2 linked regions of the Saccharomyces cerevisiae S288C genome follow. The gene in region 2 interacts genetically with the main gene of each other region. Each region holds a gene or a part of one and is shown on either strand. Other genes may lie near its edges.

Evidence for each region.
Region 1: of MAL11 (region 2) and IMA2, changing one enhances a phenotype caused by changing the other (phenotypic enhancement), as found in Saccharomyces cerevisiae (one study listed by BioGRID).

What each region holds. Positions count from the first base shown.
Region 1 is NC_001147.6:22,492-26,418, forward strand, and holds IMA2 (oligo-1,6-glucosidase IMA2), read right to left. Parts: upstream 1,804-3,927; coding exon 34-1,803; downstream 1-33. Other genes in the region: hexose transporter HXT11, read left to right, coding at 2,782-3,927. UniProt on the Saccharomyces cerevisiae protein: Alpha-glucosidase with specificity for isomaltase, methyl-alpha-glucoside, and palatinose.
Region 2 is NC_001139.9:1,073,949-1,077,875, reverse strand, and holds MAL11 (alpha-glucoside permease), read left to right. Parts: upstream 1-2,062; coding exon 2,063-3,913; downstream 3,914-3,927. Other genes in the region: alpha-glucosidase MAL12, read right to left, coding at 1-1,277. UniProt on the Saccharomyces cerevisiae protein: High-affinity uptake of alpha-glucosides such as maltose, turanose, isomaltose, alpha-methylglucoside, maltotriose, palatinose, trehalose, melezitose and glucose. Acts with the concomitant transport of protons into the cell (symport system).

The sequences.
Region 1 (3,927 bases), on a different chromosome or scaffold from region 2:
TATGTATAAAAATCTTGTCGTCACAATCATCAATCATTCAGATATGTAAATTCTGCCCTCCCATGGCTTCAATGTTCTGGAAGACGCATCAACTTCGCTTCTTGGGTAGTTTCCGAATTCCAACTTAAACGACGAGCTATTGTTTGGAATCGTGAAGTCAATCGAATCAGAGCTGAAGTTCAAAGCAGCAAACAATGTTTTGTTGTCGTATTTCTTTGTGAAGCTGAACAGTTTCTTATTGTCCAAATCAATAAACTCAAAATCATATCCATATACAGTAATATCCTTGTGTGCCTTTCTAAATCTCAAGGCCTCCTTCCAGAAGTTCAAAACCGAGTTGGGATCCTTGGATTCGTCTTCAGCGTTAATTCCTTCCCTGAAAGACTCGTTCAAGTAAAACCATGGTTTAGCATTAGGACCAGAAAAACCAGCATTTGGCTCCTCACGAGACCATTGCATAGGTGTTCTAGCATGGTCTCTGGAAATAAGGGCAATTGCTTCCAAAAACCTCTTCATCTCCTTCGAGTTTTCTCCATGCTCTTCCTTGATCGCATCATAGTTATTTCTAACTTCGACATCCTCGTATTTTTCGATAGGCCAGTTCTTGAAATTGATTTCACCCAGTTCCTGTCCTTGGTACACATATAGAGTACCGCTCAGTGACACCAACAACACAGACAACAACTTACCAGAAATAACACGGTTCTTAGGAGAATCGTCACCAAATCTGGTAATTGAACGAGGTTGGTCGTGATTTTCCAGATAAATTGTTGACCAACAATCAGTTCCGTTAACGTATCTGAAAAGTTCAGCAAGGGCAACCTTCCAATCCTTTAGTTCATATGGGATCAAATTTTGACGGAACTTGGGCGAAGTCCCGACATCAGTGTGGGAAAAGTTGAATAACTCACTAAGTTCGTGTCTTGATGCACTTGTATACAACCTCTTGGTTTCATCAGTAGCATGTTGCATTTCACCAACTGTCATAATTTCTCTGCCATCCTTCACTCTGTTTCTGATGAACTTGTTCATTTCTTGATGAAACTCATGGATACGTGGTCCGTTCATTGTGAAAGGATCACTGGGTTGCCACTTTGAGTTTTCGTCAATCACAGGAGCGTCTGGTAGACCAGCAACCTTGGAGTACAAGCTTCCCACATCAATTCTAAAGCCGTCTACACCATGGTCTAACCAGTATCCAACGGCACTTTCGTAGATTGCCTTTCTACAGTCCTCATTCTCCCAATTCAAATCAGGTTGGGTGGAGCAAAACAAACGCAAGTAAAACTCTTGTGTCTTTTCATCGAACGTCCATGCAGAACCACCGAAGTAAGACCTCCAATTGTTTGGAGGAATTGGCTTGCCTTCGGCGTCATAACCCTTAGGAGGTCTCCAGAAGAACCAGTCACGTTTTGGATTGGTTTTTGAGGATCTGCTCTCTTTGAACCATTCATGTTCGCTCGAGCAATGGTTGATGACTAAGTCGGTGATAAATTTCATACCAAGCTTATGTGTCTTTTCGATCAAGGCAAAGCAGTCCTCGTTCGTACCGTAGGTTGGCCAGACCTTTTCGTAGTTGGCAATATCGTAACCCATATCATCTTGTGGCGAGTCGTAGAATGGTGAGATCCAAATGGCATCGGCACCAAGCTCTTTGATATACTCCAACTTGGAGGCAATACCCTTCATATCACCCCACCCATCGTTGTTGGAGTCTTTGAAACTTGCGGGATAAATTTGATAGATTGTGGCCTCTTTCCACCACTTGGGTTCTGTTTCTGGATGTGCAGAAGAAATAGTCATTGTACGTTGCTTTCTTTTCTTTATGAAAAAACTTTCACTTTTGTTTGTGTGTTTGGACTGGTGAATGGAACATATATTCTAGTACAGCTAATTCCTCGAGTGAAGAAGTCTTTCTTACTTATATATGTCTTTTACGTGCCTATGGACGTCTTACGAATGATCGAAAATAAGAAAAGAACAAAGTAAATTTAGGATCTGGAAGGAGTGCTGTATGTAAACGAAGCTTTCAGTTTTAGGTAATGTTTGCACAACCTACATGATATAACATGGTATGTTCTGCAAGAGCGTGCCTGGCCCTTGGCCCGTTATAGCAGATCATACCATCTGCAAGCAGACCCCATTATTGCACTGCCTCCGCAATCTTGCGTATACGTAGTCCCACGACAAAGTACGAAGCGTAAACTGACCTTGTTCAGTTCCCCACAAAAATTACATAACCATTTCTCCGCGGAATTACATAATCATTTCTCCGCGAAAATTACATAATCATTTCTCCGTGCGAGTTATAAGTGCTTTTCTCGTGCATCCCTTGGCACTTCACAAAACCTTCTTTTTCTTTTTTTTCTTTATTTCAGGGGAAATCAGTGCAAAACTAAAAAAGAAAGAAATTTTGTGAAATGTAAACTCCAGGTGTCAAAAAATAAATTATATCCGTGGAAAATCAGGCGTCGGAAATTGTAGATGAAACCGCCTCCTCCACAATAAATGCTGACCACACGAACAATGCATACACTCGGACACCTTCGTTCAAAGTATCAGTAGCAGTTCGACACACCGTATACTACTTAGCTCTTAAGGTCTAGGCTCATCTTTCTCAGTTCCTCTTTTTCGCTAATTAAAGGTATATAATGTCACAGTTGTGTAACTAGAGAAGAGCACACTTGTTCCTATCTTTTTCTTCTTCTTTTTTTGGTATGAGTTGAAAAAAATAATCATTGCACAATTTAGTTCTAAACGCTTTTGTTATTACTCAATATCATGTCAGGTGTTAATAATACATCCGCAAATGAGTTATCTACTACCATGTCTAACTCTAACTCAGCAGTAGGCGCTCCCTCTGTTAAGACTGAACACGGTGACTCTAAAAATTCCCTTAACCTAGATGCCAATGAGCCACCTATTGACTTACCTCAAAAACCCCTCTCTGCGTATACCACCGTCGCAATCCTGTGTTTGATGATTGCATTTGGCGGCTTCATCTTTGGTTGGGATACCGGTACCATTTCTGGTTTTGTTAACCTTTCTGATTTCATCAGAAGGTTCGGTCAAAAAAATGACAAGGGAACCTACTACTTATCGAAAGTAAGAATGGGTTTGATCGTCTCAATATTCAACATTGGCTGCGCCATAGGCGGAATTGTCTTGTCAAAAGTCGGTGATATATATGGTCGTCGTATTGGATTGATTACAGTTACTGCCATTTACGTTGTAGGCATCCTAATCCAAATAACTTCCATAAACAAGTGGTACCAATACTTCATTGGAAGAATTATTTCTGGCCTAGGAGTGGGAGGCATTGCTGTCCTTTCCCCAATGTTGATATCTGAAGTTGCTCCCAAACATATCAGAGGAACTCTGGTCCAATTGTACCAGCTGATGGGTACGATGGGTATTTTTCTAGGATACTGTACCAATTACGGTACCAAGAACTATCACAACGCCACTCAATGGAGAGTCGGCCTTGGTCTTTGCTTTGCCTGGGCTACATTCATGGTTAGTGGAATGATGTTTGTACCAGAATCACCACGTTACCTGATTGAGGTTGGTAAAGATGAGGAAGCGAAACGTTCACTATCGAAATCCAACAAAGTCTCAGTTGACGATCCAGCCTTGCTAGTTGAATATGACACTATAAAGGCAGGAATTGAACTTGAAAAGCTGGCAGGTAACGCATCATGGTCTGAACTACTCTCCACTAAAACAAAGGTCTTTCAGCGTGTTCTCATGGGAGTGATGATCCAATCGCTGCAGCAATTAACCGGTGACAACTACTTCTTTTACTACGGTACCACCATCTTCAAATCTGTCGGTCTAAAGGACTCCTTTCAGACTTCGATCATTATCGGTGTGGTTAATTTTTTCTCTTCATTCATAGCGGTATACACCATTGAGAGGTTTGGACGC
Region 2 (3,927 bases):
TCCTTCGAGTTTTTACCAAAACTTTTTTTGATAATCTCGTAGTTGTTTTTCACATCAACGTCCTCATACTTTTCAATAGGCCATTCCTTGAAATTGATCTGGCCTATCTCCTGACCTTGATAGACATACAACGTACCTGTCAATGAACATTCTAGCAATGTTAACAGCTTACCAGATATTTTACGGTACTTTGGCGAATCGTCAGCAAATCTCGTAATTGACCGGGCTTGATCGTGATTCTCGATGTAGGTGGTAGCCCAACTATCAGTACCGTTAATGAACAAAAAGTTCGATGCAATGGCTTCTTTCCATTGTTTCAAGGTGAAGGGCACTATGTTATAACGGAAAAATGGCGAGGTACCAACTTCAACGTGCGTGAAGGAGAAAACTTCGCTGACTTCGTATCTAGCTGCACTGGTGTATAAAGCATTATCACTTCCATGGGCAACTTCACCGACTGTCATTATTTCTCTACCATCTTTCACCCTGTTTTTCATAAATCTGTGTAGTTCTTGATGATATTCATGAATCCTAGGACCATTGTGAGACCCCCAATTTGGATGTTGTAATTTCGAGGTTTTGTCAAAAATTGGGGAATCTGGTAAACCAGGACGTTTCGAATACAAACCAGCGGTATCGATTCTAAAACCATCTACACCATGGTCCAGCCAAAATCCAACAGCACTTTCAAAGATTGCCCTTCTGCAGTCTTCATTCTCCCAATTCAAGTCAACTTGACGACTCGCAAACAAACGGAGGTAAAATTCATTTGTAGTTTCATCAAAAGTCCAAGCTGAACCACCAAAGAAAGATTTCCAATTGTTTGGAGGAATTGGCTTGCCTTCGGCGTCATAACCCTTAGGAGGTCTCCAGAAGAACCAGTCACGCTTCGGATTGGTCTTCGAGGATCTGCTCTCTTTGAACCATTCGTGTTCTGTAGAACAGTGGTTGATAACCAAATCGGTGATGAATTTCATACCCAGCTTATGAGTCTTGTCAATTAGCTCAAAACAGTCCTCATTGGTACCATATGTGGGCCAGACCTTTTCGTAGTTGGATATATCATACCCCATATCTTGTTGAGGAGAGTCATAAAACGGACAAACCCAAATAGCATCAACGCCAAGATCTTTAATATACTGCAACTTGGAAGTGATACCTTTTAAATCACCCCAGCCATCGTTATTGGAGTCTTTAAAACTTGCTGGGTAAATTTGATAGATTGTGGCCTCTTTCCACCACTTTGGTTCTGTTTCTGGATGATCAGAAATAGTCATTTATGTAATTTAGTTACGCTTGACTGATGTACATTTGAGATTATCAAAAAAACTGCTTAAGAGATGGATGATTTAATTTTTTAGAGACGTATTAATGGAACTTTTTATACCTTGCCCAGAGCGCCTCAAGAAAATGATGCTGCAAGAAGAATTGAGGAAGGAACTATTCATCTTACGTTGTTTGTATCATCCCACGATCCAAATCATGTTACCTACGTTAGGTACGCTAGGAACTAAAAAAAGAAAAGAAAAGTATGCGTTATCACTCTTCGAGCCAATTCTTAATTGTGTGGGGTCCGCGAAAATTTCCGGATAAATCCTGTAAACTTTAACTTAAACCCCGTGTTTAGCGAAATTTTCAACGAAGCGCGCAATAAGGAGAAATATTATCTAAAAGCGAGAGTTTAAGCGAGTTGCAAGAATCTCTACGGTACAGATGCAACTTACTATAGCCAAGGTCTATTCGTATTACTATGGCAGCGAAAGGAGCTTTAAGGTTTTAATTACCCCATAGCCATAGATTCTACTCGGTCTATCTATCATGTAACACTCCGTTGATGCGTACTAGAAAATGACAACGTACCGGGCTTGAGGGACATACAGAGACAATTACAGTAATCAAGAGTGTACCCAACTTTAACGAACTCAGTAAAAAATAAGGAATGTCGACATCTTAATTTTTTATATAAAGCGGTTTGGTATTGATTGTTTGAAGAATTTTCGGGTTGGTGTTTCTTTCTGATGCTACATAGAAGAACATCAAACAACTAAAAAAATAGTATAATATGAAAAATATCATTTCATTGGTAAGCAAGAAGAAGGCTGCCTCAAAAAATGAGGATAAAAACATTTCTGAGTCTTCAAGAGATATTGTAAACCAACAGGAGGTTTTCAATACTGAAGATTTTGAAGAAGGGAAAAAGGATAGTGCCTTTGAGCTAGACCACTTAGAGTTCACCACCAATTCAGCCCAGTTAGGAGATTCTGACGAAGATAACGAGAATGTGATTAATGAGATGAACGCTACTGATGATGCAAATGAAGCTAACAGCGAGGAAAAAAGCATGACTTTGAAGCAGGCGTTGCTAAAATATCCAAAAGCAGCCCTGTGGTCCATATTAGTGTCTACTACCCTGGTTATGGAAGGTTATGATACCGCACTACTGAGCGCACTGTATGCCCTGCCAGTTTTTCAGAGAAAATTCGGTACTTTGAACGGGGAGGGTTCTTACGAAATTACTTCCCAATGGCAGATTGGTTTAAACATGTGTGTCCTTTGTGGTGAGATGATTGGTTTGCAAATCACGACTTATATGGTTGAATTTATGGGGAATCGTTATACGATGATTACAGCACTTGGTTTGTTAACTGCTTATATCTTTATCCTCTACTACTGTAAAAGTTTAGCTATGATTGCTGTGGGACAAATTCTCTCAGCTATACCATGGGGTTGTTTCCAAAGTTTGGCTGTTACTTATGCTTCGGAAGTTTGCCCTTTAGCATTAAGATATTACATGACCAGTTACTCCAACATTTGTTGGTTATTTGGTCAAATCTTCGCCTCTGGTATTATGAAAAACTCACAAGAGAATTTAGGGAACTCCGACTTGGGCTATAAATTGCCATTTGCTTTACAATGGATTTGGCCTGCTCCTTTAATGATCGGTATCTTTTTCGCTCCTGAGTCGCCCTGGTGGTTGGTGAGAAAGGATAGGGTCGCTGAGGCAAGAAAATCTTTAAGCAGAATTTTGAGTGGTAAAGGCGCCGAGAAGGACATTCAAGTTGATCTTACTTTAAAGCAGATTGAATTGACTATTGAAAAAGAAAGACTTTTAGCATCTAAATCAGGATCATTCTTTAATTGTTTCAAGGGAGTTAATGGAAGAAGAACGAGACTTGCATGTTTAACTTGGGTAGCTCAAAATAGTAGCGGTGCCGTTTTACTTGGTTACTCGACATATTTTTTTGAAAGAGCAGGTATGGCCACCGACAAGGCGTTTACTTTTTCTCTAATTCAGTACTGTCTTGGGTTAGCGGGTACACTTTGCTCCTGGGTAATATCTGGCCGTGTTGGTAGATGGACAATACTGACCTATGGTCTTGCATTTCAAATGGTCTGCTTATTTATTATTGGTGGAATGGGTTTTGGTTCTGGAAGCAGCGCTAGTAATGGTGCCGGTGGTTTATTGCTGGCTTTATCATTCTTTTACAATGCTGGTATCGGTGCAGTTGTTTACTGTATCGTTGCTGAAATTCCATCAGCGGAGTTGAGAACTAAGACTATAGTGCTGGCCCGTATTTGCTACAATCTCATGGCCGTTATTAACGCTATATTAACGCCCTATATGCTAAACGTGAGCGATTGGAACTGGGGTGCCAAAACTGGTCTATACTGGGGTGGTTTCACAGCAGTCACTTTAGCTTGGGTCATCATCGATCTGCCTGAGACAACTGGTAGAACCTTCAGTGAAATTAATGAACTTTTCAACCAAGGGGTTCCTGCCAGAAAATTTGCATCTACTGTGGTTGATCCATTCGGAAAGGGAAAAACTCAACATGATTCGCTAGCTGATGAGAGTATCAGTCAGTCCTCAAGCATAAAACAGCGAGAATTAAATGCAGCTGATAAATGTTAAGTAAAAGGGTTGTT